Drosophila melanogaster: one gene and its partners. The protein of the gene in region 3 purifies or fractionates together with the protein of the main gene of each other region. This does not show direct contact. Each region holds a gene or a part of one and is shown on either strand. Other genes may lie near its edges.

Region 1 (3,955 bases), on a different chromosome or scaffold from region 3:
TCCATTTCGTTCTTCTTCACTTAAAATGCATCCTCATTGACCACCAGTGCATCATCTCCTGCCGGGGATTCCTTCCACTTAAATTGCTCTGCGTCTTGTGTTCCCAAGCGATCCGTTTGCTGGACAGGGGGTACATTCTCCTGATCCCCGCCAGCTGCCCTACGAAGTTCCCGGCTCAGCAGCGCTGATATGGCATTATCTTCTGAAGAGCGATTTTCAAATGTTCGTTGTTTACATTTTGAAACGGAACTGCCAACTTGCGGGAACAACAGGGAAATCTTAAGGGCTAGCGACTTAGAAATACCCTTTTATTCAATAAATATTTAAGCTCAGACCAACTTTGTAAATATGATAGTAAACTATTTTCTTATTATAAATACATGGTTGCTTAAGAATTAATTGCACAAATAGTAAGTCAGTAATAAAATTGACTTACAAAAAATTAATCCACCTGTTGCAACGACCTGTGCAGCCAATACACCCCAGCTATCCCTTATATATAACCAGTGTTGAAGAACAGCAGGCAGACGCGCCTCCAAAATTTGAAATGTGACATTGTGTGTTTAATAGCAATTATTACATAATTTCGGGACAGATAATAAAACTTTTCAGCTTAACCACTAGACAATAGATAAATGCAAACTGATCGAGCCACTTCCACAGGTCCAAGACAGTGCTCAGCCGGATCTAGGGCATCATGCGCAGAGCACCGTCGATACGGATGACCTCGCCGTTGAGCAGCGGATTCTCGTAGATGGCCTGCACCAGGTGGGCGTACTCACTGGGCTCGCCCAGGCGCTGCGGGAACGGTATGGACTTGGCCAGGAAGGTGCGCACCTTCTCCGGCAGGGCGGCCAGCATAGGCGTGTTGAACAAACCCGGTGCAATGGTGCAGATACGTATGCCCTGGGTGCTCAAGTCACGGGCAATGGGCAGGGTCATGCCCACCACGGCTGCCTTGGAGGCGGAGTAGGCCGCCTGGCCGATCTGGCCATCAAAGGCAGCCACCGAGGCGGTGTTCACGATCACGCCGCGCTGTCCATCCTGATTGGGCTCATTGGCGCCCATCAGTCCGGCGGACAGACGGATCACATTGAACGTGCCCACGGTATTGATGTTGATCACCCGCTGGAAGTCTTCCAGGCGGTGCGCCACGTTCTTGTTGAAGTTGAACGTCTTTACCGCGGTGGCTGTGCCCGCACAGTTCACAGTCAGATCCAGACGACCGAACTTATCCTTGGCCGTCTGCAGAGCGGCGCTCACATCCTTCTCGGAGGTCACGTCCACGGGCACGAAGACCACCTTGTCGCCCAGCTCCTTGGCCACCTCGTTGCCCTTGGAGGAGGGCAGATCGGCCAGGATCACGCTGGCGCCCTGCTTGGCCAGGCGCTCGGCGGTGGCGCGGCCCAGTCCAGAGGCTCCTCCGGTCACCAGGGAAACGGCGTTCTGGGGGTGGGAAAGGCATGGGGTTAGAAACTATATATATATGTATATATCCAAGGAAATAGATTCTAAAAATGCACTCCATTCCATTTCATCCCAACTACAACATCAATGTTTAGAGATCTTAACAGAATAAGCATATAGAATGCAAAATATACGATCTGTAGGACTGAGATCCTTATCTTTAACAACATTGAGAAGTTGTCCGTTAAAGTTAGTATAGAAATAGCACGATCCTCAATTTGCAGATAAACTTATAATCCGATGCCGGTTTATCTTATTATTTCGAAAGCAGCTGACCGATGCGTTCGGTGTCCAGTTTCCCGATAAGCCGCATTGTATTATTGTATAACTCGGTGGGGAAGTAATGCTAATTGTTGGCTGGGTACAAGGTACATCGCTGTGGGCAGAGATACAGTTATTTATGGGACTCCATGTTTATAATAGACACGAGTTCACATCCCAATTGGACTTTGCACCCCGGCCGCGCAGTCATCGGCCGCTTTTGCTGCACTAATTCCCGTCTAATCGCAGTGTGATCCTTATTTACAGCACCCCACGTACCTTGATCATTGTTCTGGCTGGTGGCGTTGTGTTGTGGGTGCGAAAGGCGGTGGTTACTTAGTGCTCGGCAAAGCTTTTTAAGCAAAAACTTGTTAAGCGATTCGAAACCGTGCAGTGTGACCGTATGTGCGCCGCTTGAAAATACTGCCTACCGGTTAGGGGGCTCCTATCATTGGCTTAGCTTTTAAATTTTGAGTTTTTTTTTAAATTTAAATTTAAATCAATTTGTTTATTACCAAGCAATTAATTTGCAAGATTTTGAAAGAACTTTTAAATATAAATTACCTCGAGCAGGCAAACAGTGAAGATTTTATTTGGCAAGCTAACTAACTTGGCAACTTATTATTTCAAGAACATGTTTTTGCAACAATTAAGGTGGCAGCATTCAAGTCTTTATAAATGAAATCTTTAGCTATTCAAATTCAATGGCTTAAAACAACTTATGCTATAGATTATTACAGTAAATTTTAGTTATAAGCTATTCATTGTATGAATTCGTATTTAGCTTCCACGCCAAAATGTATGCCGTAGAATTACATATACTCATTTAATTTATTTTATGGTTTATAACTTAAATTAATTTGAACATAAACATTTATGCTTTAAATAAAAACAAAACATTGTTTCTGTTTAATTTAAGATTATTTTCATTTTTAATATTTCTTATTACTTCACTTAATAAATAATAATTAAAAAAAAATATTGCTTATATAAATAAGGAGTATTTTAAATAAATCATAACAAAGTTATATCCGAATTTAATTTATACCCCCAATTTATATACTTTTGTCCTCCGATGTATGGAAGAACATCGATGATTCCTCGAAAAACATCGATGCTTGTGATTGTTTGAAAAGATCGATGATATCGATGATGTCATCGATGTTTCTCCACCTCTAAGTCAGATTGCCTATTGAAATACAAAATAAATGAGTACTTCCTAGAAATCAAATGTTAAAGAACACAATATGTCGCTCGGTGGAGAAAGTAAGCACACGCCAAAGTCTTCCAATCTGAGGCCGTTGGACGACGACCAGCTGGTTAGGATCATCAGCACGCCACGTCCGTCAAATGGTAAAACCCATGCAAACTGCGCGTTTGCCAGAATGCCAGAACCAAGATTCAACTCCACTTTTCCACGCAATATGGCAAGGAGTGAGCCAGCATCCCGCCCAGGACCGCCTCAAGCGCCTGCAGGGCCAACTAAAGCGGGTGCAGGACAACGAGAAGGAGCAGGGGACCACCAAGCGGATCACCCACAGTTCCTCCGCATCTCGTCGATCAAGTGCGTCCACATCTACGCCCCAGCGACTCCTGAAGTTTCCGCCTAAGGTGGCGATGAATGCCTGGGAAAAGCCAAAAGCCCTGGTCGATGCCAATCGCCTGAAGGCGGGACGTACCCAAACTGGTGAGTGCCCGGTGCATATAGTTACTCATATCCCATGTTCTCCTTATCGTCTCCCTAGCCTACCAGCGTCTCATGCTGTTAAGAGCTTCGCTGCAGCAGAAGCAGCTATATGAGGAGCGCAACAACAATATTGTGGCCAAGATCAACGAAGAGGTGATAGAAAAACAACCAGAAGCCTGCAACATCACAAATCCAAGTGCATTTGATGGCTCGACGGCCAGCGATATGGAGGTCGAGCCCATGGAATGGCAGGAGTCTATTGAAGAGGAGGCGGCACAGAATGATCAGGATGAGGCTAAGAAAGGGGACGACACTCTATTGATGCTGCCGGCGGAGTCCATTGAAGAGGAGGCGCCACAGAAAGGTCAGGATGAGGCTAAGGAAGAGGACGACACTATATTGATGCTGCAGGCGGCCGATGCCGAGGAGCTGCCCCCAAGGCTTGAGGATTACATGTACTTTGTGCTGGACACCAACGTCCTCATACACAACCACAAGTTCGTGGAGAGACTGACCGATGTGGTGCTGCCGGGCACGGTG
Region 2 (4,599 bases), on a different chromosome or scaffold from region 3:
GGCAGCCCAATATTAAAGCTCAGCTCTTAAGGCCTTCTCCCTATCGGAACTAACCCACACCCGAGCTGCTCTTATCGAGCACCTGCATTTGCAATGCAAAGCAGGGGGTGTAAGGTAGCTTTCGGCACCTTGGGCATGTGATAGCCACCAAGTTCAAGCCGACCAAGTTTGTGGTTTGCGGCGGAGGCGATGACGCCGACGACGTGGCTGGCTTCCCCAATTTGAGCTGCTTAGTTAGTTGGAATAGAGACGTCCGCCATGCCCCATCGACTGCGGCAGAACCTGCTGTTACCCCAACCGCCCACGGTGGTCCTGCACGATCCTCGCACCCACCTGCGGCACCTGCCACCCGCCTACAGTGCCGCACAGACTCCGCTGAGCAAGGAGCGGGACTTTGGGGCGCAGGTGCGCTACTACCTAGAGGCGCCTCGCAAGCCCAAGTTTCGACCCTGCAAGGTCATCTTCGTGGGCGACTGCTCCGTGGGCAAGACGGCCATCGTCAATCGGTGAGCATGGCATGGCATATAGGCATTACTAAATTAATTAACTTACACAATCATCCGCAGATTTTGCTACGACAAATTTCAGTCGAACTACAAGGCCACCATTGGCGTGGACTTTGAGCTGGAGAACTTCAGCATTCTGGGTCACAACTACAGTCTGGAAATGTGGGTCAACTGCCTAGAAGGCGCTATCAGTTTGGTTTTGAAATGTGCTCTACTTGCAGGTGGGACACTGCTGGTCAGGAGCGCTTCAGGTGCATCGCCGGAGCCTATTATCGCAATGCGAGTGGTAAGTACCAACTAATTAAATCATTAGGAGAGAGTTTTAACAATACAAATCCATAACCAAAGTGATTGTGGTCACCTACGACATGTCGAAGAAGGATTCGCTGGAGTCGGCAAAAAAATGGCTAAATAGCGCACTCAACTACAATGCAAGCAAGAGACCCTTGGTTTTCCTGGTGGGCACAAAAGCAGACCTCTTGGTAAACCACCTTTCCAACAAAAGATTCAAGTAATAGCACTTACTTTTCAGTCGAAGGAGGAGTTTGTACGCATGGAACGACTGGCAGGGTTGGCAGCCGCCGAGCTTCAGGCGGAATATTGGTCCGTTTCGGCGCGATCTGGCTTCAAAGTTACGGAATTATTCCAAAGGATCGCTGCCCTGGCCTTTGAAGAGGCTGTAATGCAGGAAATTAGGTCTATTAAGAATAAGCCTCAGGAACAGGCCACTCAGGCATCTGTTAAATCGCAAACTTTTGGTAAGCCGCTATTCGAAAATTCTTATCCTATCAGCTTATATTTATTCTTATTTAGATTTACGCAACTTCTTTGGAAGCCGCCTCTCGCAACAGAAAAGTGGCTGTACTTGCTAGCCTGCAGATTGCACAACTTGTATTTTTAGCTTAACGTAAGACATTGAATAAAACAGTTTTAAACAATTTGGTTACTTCTTTCGCTTTAAATTCGAATTCAACAAGTACCGTTACATTTTAAACACCGTTAGCGTTGCCACTCATTTTTGCGGCTGTGTTGCACGCGCACAGTGTCAAGATAGCAAGCCAGACACGGCTAATAAGTGCCGCAGCAGTGTTGCCAAACGCACTGAATGCGTGCCAAATTCCAGCTATCTGGCCACCCTCCTGTCAAAACGGGCTTCCGCCTTTTGACAACTGCCCCTCAGTTTTCCTTTTCATTTCTTTTTCTCGTAGAAATGCCACCCAAAAAGCCAACCGAGAAATCCGGTAAGGATTTTTCATTCAAAAATATGCGAAAAATGCGTGAATCGATCAGCAAAAGGGAGACGACAGCTCAGCCCACCAGAAGGCAATCGAATTTGTGCGAAATATTGTGATTTTAAGGCATAAATGTGTTCGAACAGATAATCCGTAGTTTCGGCCACGTGCGGTGTGTCTGCGTGGGAATGTCCAAGTGTGTGTTCAGAATGGGATAGTATAGCAACCGAGTGAGCAATCCAAAGTTGAATTTATTCGAATGGAGCTGGATGAGTCGGAAAGCGTCCCATTGCCTTGCTGATCGATCAGGCCTAACCTAACTTTGTGCGTCGAGAGCCGAACATGTTTACTAATCCGTGGACTCCGCGCTCTTCTGTTTACAGCCAAGCCTGGCGACAAGAAGCCAGAGCAGAAGAAGACTGCTGCGGCTCCCGCTGCCGGCAAGAAGGAGGCTGCTCCCTCGGCTGCCAAGCCAGCTGCCGCTGCGCCCAAGAAGGCTGCTGCCCCAGCGGCTAAGAAGGCTGCTCCGGCCGCCAAGAAGCCAGCGACCGCCGGTGCTGCTGCCAAGAAGCCCGCGGCCGTAAAGACGACCGCGGCCGCCAAGGCCAAGAGCAAGGATGCCAAGAAGAAGGTCCTCGCCGGCAAGAAGCCCCAGTCCGTGCTGGCCAAGCTCTCTGCCAAGGCTCGCGCGGCCGCCAAGGCCAAGAAGGGCGTGAAGCCCGTGACCAAGCCCGCCAAGGGAACCGCCAAGGCCAAGGCTGTGGCTCTGCTGAACGCCAAGAAGGTCCAGAAGAAGGTGTGCATCAGCTGCTTAATATTGAGGAGATCGACTCGGACTAACCTCGTTCTTTGTTGCTCTTTTCGAACAGATCATCAAGGGCGCCTTCGGCACCCGTGCCCGCAAGATCCGCACCAACGTGCACTTCCGTCGGCCAACCACCCTGAAGCTGCCCAGGAGTCCCAAGTACCCCAGGAAATCGGTGCCCACCAGGAACCGCATGGACGCGTACAACATCATCAAGTACCCACTGACCACCGAGGCGGCCATGAAGAAGATCGAGGACAACAACACCCTGGTCTTCCTCACACACCTGCGCGCCAACAAGAACCACGTGCGTGCCGCAGTGCGCAAGCTCTACGACATCAAGGTGGCCAAGGTGAACGTGCTCATCCGGCCCGATGGCCAGAAGAAGGCCTATGTGCGCCTGGCGCGCGACTACGACGCCCTGGACATTGCCAACAAGATCGGCATCATATAAGCGCTGCAATCTGCGGTAACGTGTGGAATGGGCATCGCGTTCTACATTTTATATGTAGATTCTTTTCTATAAACAAAGTAATGCTAAGCTGACACGGTAGAGCGAGGATGAACGTTTCAAAGTTGTCTGGGTTTAATAAAACCACTCAAAAACTAAGTGTGGGTTTTCAATGTGGGCTCAATGGGTTCTGAGTTTCTTTCAGTTTTCTCTTTCAGATTGGATACTTCAGGTTTTAGCGCTCTAAATTGGTGAGTTTTTAATAACAAGCAATCTTTCAATTTGCTAATACTACCTTCTATCGCAGGCTGTCTTTAAATGGGAAGCTTAACTTGCTAAACGAAGAGGTAATTAAAGTTTTATTTTGTAATTTTAATGTATAACACTTAGCTGATGATATTACGAGTAGGAATCTCATTGAAATAACCATGAAATCAATTTTATCTCCACTGATAGCATTATGCTCAAGGAAGCTGAACTCAACCAAACCAAGCTAATCAAGACTTTATTTCGTTTCAGTTTTCAATCTGGCTCGTATCTGGATCCTTGGATATGAAATTCTTCAAGGTGTGTATATTTCGGATGGAGTAGTTTGAATTGTAATCTGCTCTGATGATATTTCGAGTAGGAATCTCATTGAGCTACCTGTAGCTATGAAATCAATTTTAATCTCCCACTGATCAAATCATTTCAAACAACAATGGCTTCTCTTAAAGCGCTTTATTTAACAATTCTTTTTTAATTCATTTCAGTTGCGCCATTGTTTCCCGATTCTCTGGACTAACTTCTTATAAGGTGTGTATCTGTTTTAGTTACTGACAACTTCTTTATTGTGATGATATTTTGAGTAGGAATCTCATTGAGCCTCAGTCATTCGTTGCTTTGAAATTAATTTTGTCTCTCACTGATTGCAAGCATAAAAGCAAATATGTTCATCGTTGTGAAGCATAACTAACCAAGTGTTTGCTTTTATTTTTACAGAAGTGGCCCGATTAATGGATTAATGAGTTAATTCTTAAAGTACATTTAATTGAAATATATATAGAAATAAAACAGAATCCTGAACCTAAACAATTGTACATTTTATTGCTGGCACTCGTATCTTTAGTATCTGCGGAACTGCTTCCTAAACTTATCATAATGGTAGTCATCTGTGGCTCGCTTGACTCCATTGGGATTCGTCTGATGCTGTGCGGATTTGTTGCCCTCCCTTTCCTCACGCTTGCGCCTCCTTTGATCGCTGTTGTCCTCGATGTTGACTGGAAGTAACAAAGGTTTAGTATCCGCGGAAACGTTTCACACTTGGGAACTCACATCGATTGTGTTGCATGAAGTTCACCGCCATGTTGGTGGGCACGAATTGCGAGGGTCCGTCCTTCTTGTTCTTGGCGTCCTGCAGCAGCTTCTGCTTGGCTTCCTCGGTGGCCTCTATGTTGCGGATCTTGGCCACAATGCCCAGGTCCACTTCAGGAATGCCATTGAGCATCTGGTTGGACAACATCTCCTCCGATCTGTGCGAGGAAGACTGCCTCAGGTGGTCGGGCAGGGCGTACAGGGCGGCATCCTCGGGGGTCAGGTACTTGTTTACATCACCGTCGTCCTCTG
Region 3 (4,413 bases):
GTCGGGCAAATGGTGTACAACGCCGGGTTTCCCTACTACGTTAACTTCAGCTTCAGGCACGACTTCAACCCTTCGATTTTTCAAGGGAGGGTCATCAAGTGCGACACCGGGGCCATTATGTCCGATGGCAGCGTGCAGGCGGGCCAAAGTGGAGGACCGATGTTCGACCAGAATGGATGCATCCTAGGCGTTTGTGTGTCCAACATTAAATTAGACGACGTCGTCTACCCAAACATAAATACAGCCATTCCAATTTGTGATATCCGCAACACGTTGCAGCAGTTTGCACGCACCAACGGTGAGCAGAATGTCGAATCGATGGTTTCTAGCTTATCTTAATTCTTTGCAGACTTAAATGTGCTTAGCAACCTGGTAGCCAGTCCAGATGTACACCGCGTGTGGTCTCTGGAAATGCCCCCCATTCGCAGCAAACTCTGAGGAGACTCGTGCATTGTTCATTGTTAACGAAACTGTAATTAGTGTTTTTATATAATATGGCCGGTTAGCCAGGCTTTTAAGATTAAACAAGATATTGTAAAAAAAGAAAATATATATATATATATAAATTTATTAATATGGTAAGAAATTGTGCTTAGTTTTTATCCAAACAATCGTTAACGTGACTCTGAAGCACGCTTAAGGCGTTAAAGGACTTTGAACAGATCGGACATCGCAAAGTGGTGTCTGAAGTCCGGGATGAGGCGCCTGTTGGGTCGAGAATCTACCGATACAAAAATTAGTATTGACATTTATGGACTTTGGAATCAGCGTACTCTTACTGGTCTCTGCTCCTCTCGCAAATTGCTTCTGCTTGAACTCAGCGGAGAAGCGGTCGAGCACGCCTTGCTTGCCTTGTGGGACTCGGCCAGAGCTTCGATAAGCTCCTGGTTCCTCCTCTGCAATGATCGCAAGTCCATAAGATACTGATCTTTCTCTCCGGCATTCTTCTCGCGATCTGCCCGCTCCATTTCAAAGTCCCTGCGGTAGATATCGTTTTGGATCTGTAGACCTTTGATCACCTCCTGCTTCTGGATGTCCCTGGCCTTCAGCTCGTTAATATCCAGCTGCATTTTCTTTATCAGCTCCTGGGATTTTGATTCGGTTGCATACTCTGGTACGAACTCAAACGAGTGCTGAAATAACAGAAGAAAAAGGGTGCGAGCCCGGAAGAGAATATTTTAAAGAGATACTGTCCAGTTTACAATGCAGAATAGCAATGATTGCGAGTCTGTATGCAAGTATTTGCCCTATCGCTTGGAGCAACTGGTAGACATACATTTAGCTGTTTCAGTTTGTCAATCTCCACGCGCATGTTGTCGATCAGGGACTGTTTCTCAGATACGCTCTTACGAAGCTCATCCTGCTCCTTTAGCCTGATGGTATGAACCCCTTCAATCTGCTCGATTTTCGTCTCTAGGTCCCTCTTCAGCTCTTGGTTTTCCACGCGAAGGATCGCGATTTGCGCTTGGCACTCTTTCACATGCTCCTTGTACTGGTGTTCTCGGTCGGCGGCTTCCTGGCGCCATTGTTGAGTCAGGTTGTGGTAGTTCAGCATGGTTTGGTTGACCTTGTCAAGTGTGCCTGGCCGGATAATGGCATATTATTGCTGTATATTACTTTACGGGAAAAAAATGCTCACTCTTTAGCGCGAGGTACTCGGTCATCATGTTCTGCAGCTTAACTACTTCCTCTGCGGAGCCCTGCAACGAGCAGAGGCTGGGAAACTGCGAATAAACACTGTTCTGTGGTTGGATTTAGAGACTGTTGTTAGAATTTAAACAGACCAGACGGTAACCAGACGCTCACCTTCAGGACATCGGATTGAATTTCTCCCATAATGAAGCTGGTCGCCAGGGATTGTTGCTGGGAAGATCCGGAATCCAGCGATTTGTGCTGCTGCTGCGATGCAGTGATGCTGACTGGAATACAGTTCACTGTTGGCGGCTGAGTGCTCGTAGAGGCAACGGTTTCCTTCGCCTCCTGCGCGTTACCACATACGTCGGACCGCAAGGAACTGTCCGGCATGAGCGAGGAGCACGGCGAGCTACCCAAGATAACGAATGACTCTTCGTCCGACATGTCTCCGTTGTCGCGGTAGCAATGGCGGGTATTAATAATCAGATTTTACGACTGTGAACGCAGGTGAGGGAATTCCCCTCTTTCGAAAACTAGACGGCAAAGTATTAGCCAAATCGATTAATTTGATATCGGCAATAGTAAGGATAAATGTATAATAAATGAGTTTTAGGGCAATGATTCATTAGGCGTGGGAATTACATCGACGCGTCACAATGGAATAAGCAATTGTCATGTTTATTGCATATATACCTTATATACTACTGCGTTCCTTATCTCGTTTTGCTTTGCTGACAAGCTTTAAGGAAATAAAATTGTTTTCGGAGTAATATTTACTTTTAACTAATTTACCAAACAACTTAGACCAGTGTGACCGCAATCGTTTCAAATGTGCCTTTTTTTGTGTCATTGATTGTCATATTGTCATAATCGGAAATGTTATCGACAATCGGCGAGCTCGTCTATCTAAATTTAAAAGCAGCTAATTTCAATAAAACTGATTACACGCCCAAAACTCGTGCATATGAAGTGCAGTTTGCACTGCAAGGGCGGTGGAAAGTCCCGGCATCATTTATTCAAGCCCAGTGACGTGCATCCCAATTTACCTTCCTTTGTTGCTCAGCTGAGATTAATGGGCGCGTCCTAAAGGCCTGAGCCTGACAAACCAGTTGCCAGCGAAATTACACCGAAATGTAATTGCCAAAACTCGCAAATTCTAATGGACGGCGCAGTGCGTTCTGAACCCGCCAAACCGGATTCAGTACCTCCATTGTTCGGCTCAACTCTGTAGATGTGGGTTAATAAGGCTTTCGCGTGTTAAATATAGGTGTGAGTGGAGCTCGCGACAAGGAACTGGTGGCTGGCCGAGATGCGACTTTCGTATTACCATAACCAACCGGTTCCTGGCTATGTGCACAGACCGCATCCCCATCCTCATTTCCATCCCAATCCACACATTTTAGAATTAATACGTTCGTAACAATGATAATCATCATGCGGTTTATTACTCAAGAATCTCTATGTGATCTTACGACTAATGCACGCGAATAAATAAAATTAAAAAAACTTAAACGAATACGATACGAAATTCCATTAAAGCTCAAGTGCATTCAAGAAAACTCCTCAAACGGCTACAACTAGAAGACTCACACGTTCACTCTCGCACTCTATGATGCAGGATCTCCTCATCTGCTCTATCACATTCACACAAGGACTTAGGTCTAGGCCTGCGGATCCTCTGACCGCGATCTTACGCCTGTTGCTGGCGGAACAGACGCCTCTGCGTCTGGTGGGGTGGCTGGAGGTCGCTCTGCAGGATAGAGGCGAAGTGCTGCTGCTTTAAGGAGCTGATTGTGGCGATCTTGCGGTGCCTGTTGGGCTGAGCGGCGGCCAGACCAAGATGAAAGTAGGGCAGGTCTTCGTCCCGCGGCAGTGGCATCATCTTGTCCTCCTCCACCGGGGAGCCATCGGGTCGCACCCGGATCACCAAAGGTCCGGTGAGGAATCTTTTGGACGGTTCTGAAGTCAGTGCGGCGGCCATTGGGAGCTCACTGCTGGACTGCGGCCCGTAGCCGTAGGCCTTGTCCATGTCCATGGCGTATTTGTGCTTCTGCTCGCCGCTCTCGAAGATTGGATTGGTGGCGGAGCCGGAGCTCTGGATGGGGTGGGCATGGGATGCTCCGTGCGGAAGTTGCTGGCGCGTTAGGATGATCAGAGAGGACGCAGGAGGAGTTGGCAGGGGCTGTTGGAGCGGCTGCCTCGTTGTCACCAGGCTGGCTCCGCTCGGATGGTCCCCCATAATCGATGACCAGACTGCGGAAGAAAAGAGCGATTAGATCGACACCGAGATTTAGAGCTCACGTCGAGCACGTCGCGACTGCGCACTGCGGAAGTTCTGACGCGGAAATCAATCATTCTCCCACGCAGATAGAGGCACTTACTCAGCTCGTTGGCATCGCGCTGATACGGATCTAGTGCCTCCAGCTGTACGTCGGAGAGCGTCTGCAGCTTGGCGGACCCGTAACCGAGCAGGTTGTGCTTGCACTGGTTCACTGGGAGGCCTCCGACGGCGGCTGTTGACTTGCAGTGCACGCTTACCAATTGAGCGAATGTTGAGTAGAGGTGGGACATCTGCAAAGTAACAAAATTGGTGGTTATTTTAATGGCGTCTTGTGTTTAAGAATCAAGTTATAGAAATTAGAAAGCAGATCATCGCTTCTCTGTTCACCAGCCGAATATGGTATTGATTTGTCATAAACGAAAATCGGAGAACATATGTCGGTGATATTAGAAAAAAAAAGAAAAAAGAAAGTTCGAAGCAATCATACTTCGACCAGG

What was found. The genes of interacting proteins can lie anywhere in the genome.
Region 1: the proteins of key (region 3) and scu purify together in Drosophila melanogaster (affinity purification with mass spectrometry, with the first as the bait; one large-scale study listed by BioGRID). This does not show direct contact.
Region 2: the proteins of key (region 3) and RpL23A purify together in Drosophila melanogaster (affinity purification with mass spectrometry, with the first as the bait; one large-scale study listed by BioGRID). This does not show direct contact.

Annotation. Positions count from the first base shown.
Region 1 is NC_004354.4:18,089,443-18,093,397, reverse strand, and holds scu (scully), read right to left. Parts: upstream 2,140-3,955; 5' UTR 2,017-2,139; coding exon 2,008-2,016; intron 1,844-2,007; exon of another isoform or gene 1,744-1,843; intron 1,447-1,743; coding exon 688-1,446; 3' UTR 545-687; downstream 1-544. Other genes in the region: Swt1 RNA endoribonuclease, read left to right, coding at 2,976-3,081, 3,161-3,415, 3,474-3,955. UniProt on the Drosophila melanogaster protein: Mitochondrial dehydrogenase involved in pathways of fatty acid, and steroid metabolism.
Region 2 is NT_037436.4:1,665,744-1,670,342, reverse strand, and holds RpL23A (ribosomal protein L23A), read left to right. Parts: upstream 1-1,688; 5' UTR 1,689-1,716; coding exon 1,717-1,747; intron 1,748-2,121; coding exon 2,122-2,534; intron 2,535-2,607; coding exon 2,608-2,997; 3' UTR 2,998-3,245; intron 3,246-3,301; 3' UTR 3,302-3,341; intron 3,342-3,378; exon of another isoform or gene 3,379-3,451; intron 3,452-3,513; 3' UTR 3,514-3,561; intron 3,562-3,597; exon of another isoform or gene 3,598-3,678; intron 3,679-3,746; 3' UTR 3,747-3,789; exon of another isoform or gene 3,790-3,975; 3' UTR 3,976-4,055; downstream 4,056-4,599. Other genes in the region: RabX5, read left to right, coding at 259-506, 567-668, 728-792, 855-988, 1,039-1,264, 1,320-1,378; CG7974 (uncharacterized protein), read right to left, coding at 4,099-4,253, 4,309-4,599.
Region 3 is NT_033778.4:24,784,963-24,789,375, forward strand, and holds key (kenny), read right to left. Parts: upstream 2,450-4,413; 5' UTR 2,329-2,449; intron 2,169-2,328; 5' UTR 2,080-2,168; coding exon 1,807-2,079; intron 1,743-1,806; coding exon 1,640-1,742; intron 1,582-1,639; coding exon 1,277-1,581; intron 1,134-1,276; coding exon 774-1,133; intron 722-773; coding exon 593-721; 3' UTR 552-592; downstream 1-551. Other genes in the region: CG3589 (uncharacterized protein), read left to right, coding at 1-298, 350-438; Reg-5 (rhythmically expressed gene 5), read right to left, coding at 3,326-3,888, 4,017-4,206.